Cricetulus griseus: one gene and its partner. The protein of the gene in region 2 interacts with the protein of the main gene of each other region in a pairwise test. Links are inferred from orthologs where the notes say so. Each region holds a gene or a part of one and is shown on either strand. Other genes may lie near its edges.

The links.
Region 1: the proteins of Trim41 (region 2) and Zbtb48 interact in binary tests that used the Homo sapiens proteins (3 or more experiments, as listed by UniProt). The two-hybrid records come from large-scale screens. The link is inferred for Cricetulus griseus from reciprocal best matches to the Homo sapiens genes TRIM41 and ZBTB48.

Annotation. Positions count from the first base shown.
Region 1 is NC_048595.1:4,334,090-4,336,830, reverse strand, and holds part of Zbtb48 (telomere zinc finger-associated protein), read right to left. Parts: intron 1,246-2,741; coding exon 1,134-1,245; intron 561-1,133; coding exon 468-560; intron 157-467; coding exon 70-156; intron 1-69. UniProt on the Homo sapiens protein: Plays a critical role in transcriptional regulation and chromatin remodeling. Acts as a regulator of telomere length. Directly binds the telomeric double-stranded 5'-TTAGGG-3' repeat.
Region 2 is NC_048600.1:63,472,525-63,476,907, reverse strand, and holds the start of Trim41 (E3 ubiquitin-protein ligase TRIM41), read left to right. Parts: upstream 1-1,425; 5' UTR 1,426-1,734; coding exon 1,735-2,541; intron 2,542-4,383.

The DNA of each region.
Region 1 (2,741 bases), on a different chromosome or scaffold from region 2:
TGGTGCCAGGTGAGGACAGGGCTGGGCTGCCCAGGAGCCACAGGTGCCCCAGCCCCGCCTGGCACTTACTGCATGGGGCTTGGGGGCTCCGTGCAGCTTGATCATGTGACTCTGCAAGTCCTTCTTCTGCATGAACTGCTGGGAGCAGGAGGAGCACTGAAACAAGAGGCCCAGTCAGCCTCAGCACCCTGCACCATCAGTGCCTTGCTGTCAGGTCATGGTGAAGAAGGGCCTAACCCAAATGCCAGGACAGTCCCCAGTCTGCTGAAGGGGGACTCCCTAGAGGGGCAATGCTCAGCCATCACTCCAGGCCCAGAGAAATGTTGAGCACGGGTGGCTAGAGAAGTGTCCCTGTCTATACGGTGTCACTGGATGGACAAGGGAGGCAGGCTTCGAGGGAGAGGTGCCAGATACCACCCTAGGCAAAGGGACCCACATCCCCACCCAGGCGGTGACCTCGGCCTGACCTTGTAGGGCATTTCCCCCGTGTGAGACACCATGTGCACCCGCAGCTCCATCCTCCTGCGGAAGGTCTCCCGGCACACGGAGCATGTGAAGACCTGGCAGTGTGAGGGGCAAGCAGGGCCAGCATCAGCGAGGGCCTCTGCCTGCGACGGCAGCCTCTGCAGGGGCTTCCACACGCTGCTGGGAAGTGTCTGCCTGGGGTAAGGGATGCTGGGGTAGGAGAGGGCAACATGTAACCTGCCTGCCTTAACCATCACAGAGCACTGTCCACAACCACACACCAGACCCTTCTCATCTCCACACAGGTGGGGGAGGGGGCAGCTGCTACTGTCTCTAGGAAGAGAAGGGTGGGGTTTAGCCAAACACTACCCACCTGTGGCAGGGGGGCATGCAAGGCAGCCCCTCCCAGCAGCCACCCCCACAAACACTTTCCTTGCTCCAAAGCCCAAGATGGAGCTAACCCAAAACATCCCCCCAGGGCTTATCCCCTGTGCCCTCTGAACAAGTGTCCCCTTGTACTAGAATGTGGATGTGATGGCATCCAAGGCCCCTGCAGCTCCTATTTTATAACCCTGTAGCATTTCCTGGGGGTCCTTCCCAGATGGCACGAGGACACAGGTCGGTCACTGGGCTGCTGCCCACAATTACTTGGCCCAATTCCCAAGTACCTGTTCTGAGCGGTTCATGCAATTCCGGGCTTCATGCTCCAAGAGGTTCTCCTTGCGAAAGTAACACTTCCCACATTTGGGACACTCAAAGGGTTTCTCCCCGGTGTGTTTCCTGCCAAGAAGAGAGGCCACAGCGTTGCGGGGGGCCAAGAGGCTGTCCCGCCTCTCGGGCGCTCGGGAGCCCTCCCACTCCTGATACAGACCTATGCTGGGGCATAGGTGTCCTGAGGCCAGCCAGGGCTCACCAAGAAGGCTCAGTGACCCCCAAGTTGGACATGCAGTGGAAAGATCAGAAATCCCCTCCAGTGTAGAGACCCTCAGGAAGAGAAGAAACAGCCATGGCGGGACAGGTGGGGACCGGCAGCCAGCCCTACTTGCACCAGCCTCATTCCATGGGTGCTTTAGAGCTAGCTGACTGGCACAGCCTGGTTGGCACCAACCTCCTCCCTGTGAGCTCCACGTTCAGCCACATGGTAGGCAGGCAGGCAGGCAGGCAGACAGACAGGTGATATGGCTCAGTGCACAAAAGCACTTGGCTGCCAAGCCAGAGGATCCAAGTTCAATCCCTGAGACCCACGTGGTGACAGAAAAACCACTCCCACAAGTTGTGCTCTGACTTCCACCCCCACCCCATGAGTAAATAAATAAACAAATGTAAAACACTATGCCCAGATTCTGCTCCCTTCCTCTCACTGATAGCACACTGGCTGCAGCAGCTCTTGGGGTCCCGTGAGTCACCGCTAGGTCCCTGGCTCCCTACCTGTCTCGCCAGCCAGTTCTACTGACTTCAGAAGCCTTTGGAGATAAGGCAGCCCTCATTACCTCTTGGCTCAGTCCTCCAGTGCTTCCTATTTCACACAAGGAGGACATGGGCGGCCTGAGTGAACTAGCCAGCCCCTCACTGGCCTTGCTCTGAAGTCCTTGTCTGCCCTCACCCCTCACACTAGTCACGCTTACTCCAAGCCCAGGACATTACTGCTAGCTCTGTTCCCAGCAGGAGGCTCTCCCCAGTGAATGGCTTCCTTACCTTTCAGCCTAGGCAGGTGGCAGAAGCCTGTGATGTATCCCAGCTACTTGGTTTAGATCCCACCTGCCCCCAGCACTAGGCTCATGTGTTAGGCAAGTATATTCCCTGCCCATTCCCAGCTACTCCAAGCTAAGGCAGAAGGATCACCAACTCCAGGCCAGCCCAGGTAATTTAGTAAGGCCCATGTCACTGAAAAAGGGCTAGGGATGTAGCTCCGTGGCAGAGGAACACTGCAGATCACGGGGTAGGGGGTAGGCTCCCTGCCTTCTTATAGTCCCCAGGCCACAGTTTTCAGAAACTGACCCTATGCAGTACACTCCAAAACCAATGCCTAGGTCCCACTCTCCTTCTACCCCTCCCTCAAACATGGTCTGACACTCTGTAGCCCCAACTGGCCTGAACCTCACAGGAGGTGCCAAACAGCAGGCATGAGCCAGCAACTTGGTCTCTGTCTGTCAGCTTCATTCTAAATCTCAGCTTCCTCTTTTCTCCAAGTGCCACAGAGACCTTAGTTTGGCTCACGTGCTCTAATGGCTCATCTGTCTTGTCACCAAGACAGATGCTTGTCTTGTGCTCAAACA
Region 2 (4,383 bases):
GGACAAGATTCCCTCACAACAAAAACATAACACCAGTTCCACAACACAATTCGAGACACTCCTTCCTTTTACACTGGAATTCAACGAATACAAATCTCAAAAACATTAAGGACTGCAAATCATTGAAAGTGTGCACGGCCATTAAGAAGTAGTAAAATTTGAATGACTCCATAGCAAGGGGGAAATATATATATATATATATATATATATATATATTTATTTATTTATTTTTAAAGAGAACATATGGACTTGTTTCAAAACTCAAAGGATATAAAAAGAACTACATGTTAGGAAAAGCGTCTTTCCTACCCGGTCATCTTTCCTAGAGAAATTCTGTCTTCCTCCACAGACGCGGATATGGTAGAGTAGCTAGCTAACCCTGAGCAGTCGGACCAGGTGCTAGGAAACCCTCTGATCGCTTTACGTGACATCCTCACAAAACCCCGAGGCGACGACCTATGGTCTACTTTAAAGGAGTAGTCACAGCCATACAAAGCACCAAATACACTTAACCTTGTATACTCCAGAGTGTCCAGCAATCTGCGCTTTTTAAGCATAACACATCCGGGAAGACTCTTGTTCACATATCTGGACAGTGTTCCATTTAATGTGAATGTAGCTATTAATAATAAATGATAGGCCAGTGGCCAGATGACAGTGTTTTTTTGTTTGTTTGTTTGTTTGCTTGCTCTGGTTGGTTGGTGGTTACTTCCTGGGACAGGGTCTGACTTTGTAGCCCAGATTAGACAAGGCTGTAACTTGCCGCGGTCCTCCTGCCTCTCCCTCCCAAGTGTGGGAGGCATACAGGAGTGCCCGCAAGATTGCAGCTGCTGAAACGGGCGTGGGAATGCCCCGCAGAGGGTGGCGCCTCCCGAACTCCAGTCCCAGCTATCTCGTCAGACTCCGCCCACGACCCCCACTTGCAGGGATCTATCGAGTCTCCAGCAAGTTCTAGGGCTACAGGGGCCGGAAGTGTTTGAGGACGCTGAGCGGGCCCGCCCCTCAGCTTCCGGCACTGCTATTGGGAGTGCCTTCTGCAGGCGTCCGTGCCTGGTCGGTAGGATGGCGCTAGGCCGCTGCGGTTGTAGCACGGAGAGCAGGGTGCTGCTCCACGTCCTCGCTGCCCTCCGCCATCTGTCCCCGCTGGCGGGGCATGGGGGCTTCTTCCGCTTTGTACGCGTTCCCCGCCGCCAGTCATCACAGAGATGCGGACCTCCGCCGTCCTAGCCCTCCCGCCCTGTTCCCGCGTGTCCGCTAGAGCGTCTCCTCCTCGTTTCCGGTTGCCCTGGAGTCCGGGGCGGGGCGTGGGAGAAGGGGGGCGTAGCACAACCTCGGAGGGAACTCGTGAGTTTAGGTCGTGTGGAGACGCCGGAAGCGTCGGGAGGGAGGCCGGAAGCTGGGGGGCGGGGCCAGGAAGTGAGGAGGGGCGGGGGTTTATGAGGAGGCCGGGGGAGCGTTGGGGCAGATTTGCACTCAGGTCCACCTGAGATACTTGTCGGTGGTGCTCACCTCAGTCCCCTCCCCTCTCTGAGACGCGATTGTCGTCTAGGGGTAGGGGACTGTGTGTGCAGCGGTGGGCTGGTCGGGAGGACATTCCTCCGGCCTCGCCGCAGGCAAGGTGTGGGGAAGCAGGGCTTGGGGTGGGGACGGGTCTCCTGGGCTTCTGAGAAGGAAGACCCCCCCGCCCCCCCTCGGCCCCCACCACACTTCTACACTGGCTGACTGGACACTAAGATGGCTGCCGTTGCCATGACACCCAACCCTGTGCAGACCCTTCAGGAGGAGGCGGTGTGCGCCATCTGCCTCGATTACTTCACGGACCCCGTGTCCATCGGCTGCGGGCACAACTTCTGCCGAGTGTGTGTAACCCAGTTGTGGGGCGGGGAGGATGAGGAGGACAGGGATGAGTTGGATCGGGAGGAGGAGGAGGAGGTCGGAGAGGAGGAAGAAGTGGAGGCTGTCGGAGCAGGCGGGGGTTGGGACACCCCCATGCGGGATGAAGATTATGAGGGTGACATGGAGGAGGAGGCCGAGGAGGAAGAGGAGGGTGTGTTCTGGAGTAGTGGTATAGGCGGGTCCAACTGGGACAACATGGACTATGTGTGGGAGGAAGAGGAGGAGGAGGAAGATCTGGACTATTACTTGGGAGATGTGGAGGACCTGAGGGGGGAAGATGAGGACGAGGAGGAGGAAGTGCTGGAGGAAGATGAGGAAGAGGAGCTAGATCCGATCACCCAACTGCCGCCACCTCCAGCCCCTCGGAGGTGCTTCACTTGTCCCCAGTGCCGAAAAAGTTTTCCTCGGCGGAGCTTCCGCCCCAACCTGCAGTTGGCCAACATGGTCCAGGTGATTCGTCAGATGCATCCAACCCCTGGTCGAGGGAGTCGTGTGAATGAACAAGGCATCTGTCCGAGACACCAAGAAGCCCTGAAATTGTTCTGTGAGGTGGATGAAGAAGCCATCTGTGTGGTGTGCCGAGAATCCAGGAGCCACAAACAGCATAGTGTGGTGCCATTGGAAGAGGTGGTGCAGGAGTACAAGGTGAGTGAACTAAGCAAGGCAAGAGTTTAGTAAGGGTAGGGAGGAAATAGAGGACATCGGGCAAAGGGAATGTGGGTTCTCTTACAGGACCTCATGTCCTGCAGAAATGATTCTCCCTGTCCAAGCACTGACTTCCAAGGTCGATAAATTACAAGGATCCTGAGACTTCCTCTGTGGCTTAAGGATAGGAGTGCAAGTGACAGAGAGTGCATTCATCCTTCTGGATGGATCTTAAGTCTTATCCATGACAGAGTCACTTCCAGATGGAAAGAAATGGGACCAAAAAGAACAAGGGAGTCTGAAACAGGAGCATAGAAATAACTAGTGTCAGACCCAAATACTCTGCACTTGTTTCCTAACGGGTTCCACACCCATCCTATGATACAGATTTGCTGGTTGGCTCAGCACCCAGTCTCATGTATTAACCAGAAAGGAGGGTTTTAGGGTAAAAATCTTGTGTCTTTAAACTTTTTTTTTGTTTTTGTTATTTTTTTGAGACAGGATTTCTCTGTGTAGCTTTGGAGCCTATCCTGGCACTCACTCAGTAGTAGACCAGGCTGGCCTTGAACTCACAGGAATCTGCCTGCCTGTGCCTCTGGAGTGCTGGGATTAAAGGTGTGCCTACCCGGCTTCACTTTGAACTTTAATTATTACAGGAGTTAATATTTATAGGGCACTTCACATATAGTCAGTACTGTGCAGGTCACTTTTTGTGGATTATCATTCATAATTCAAAGTCACCATGTGAGTTTGATGTTTGCCATTCTCATTTTATTGATTGGGAAACAGGGTTAAATTCTGAACATGGATGTTTATGTATATACAGCTTTAATAAGTGATAGACTTGGATATGAACATCTTCCTCTTGGGGCTCCTAGGTAACACTACTTGGATATTTTAGTTTGACTTTTTTTTTTTTTTTTTTCTCGAGACAGGGTTTCTCTGTGTAGCTTTGGAGCCTCTCCTGGAACTCACTCAGTAGACCAGGCTGGCCTTGAACTCACAGAGATCTGCCTGCCTCTGCCTCTGCTTCCCAAGTGCTGGGATTAAAGGCATCCGCCACCAACGCCTGGCCTAGTTTGACTTTTCTGATGTGACTGTTCTAGGAATCTAATTCTTGTTTGGTTAACTGGCTTGTTCTTTATTTCTCTAATTCTTTGGACATATGTAAAGGACATGTGTCTGTGAAGCAGCCAGCACAGATAGAACTATCTTCAGATTTGAAGCCATAGAATCAGGAGGAGAGGGTAGCCTCCTCTGTATGGCTGCCCAGAGCTTTGTTTGTGACTAATGTTTCTATGCCTCCTCCTAATTCAGTCAGTAACTTCATTTAGGTGATCATCACCTCCTCAACTTTAGAGTCTAAGGCTTCACAGCTGATTGTCAGTTATTTGAGGAGATGTCAAAAGTACAGTGGGCCTTACTGCAGAAGTTCTGAATTAGAGTATCTATAGAATAGTCATCCTAAAATGGGCATGATAGTGCAAGCTTTTTATCCCAACACTTGGGGAAATAGAGGCAGGAAGAACAGTTCAAGGTCATCCTTGATGTAGCAAGATAGAGGCTAGCTCAAGATACATGAGACCTGAGGGCAAGAAACCCTTTTTGTTTCTTGTTTGTTTGTTTGTTTGTTTGTTTTTTCCTGGACAGGGTTTCTCTGTGTAATAGACCTGGATATCCTGGAACTCATTTGTAGACCAGGCTGACCTCAAACTGACCTGCCTCTGCCTCCTGAGTGCTGGGATTAAAGACATGAACCACCACTGCCTGCTTATGTTTATATGTATGTTTTGTTTTTAAATTACTTTAGTTCTGGTTTTAGGAGGCAGATTTTCCCATATC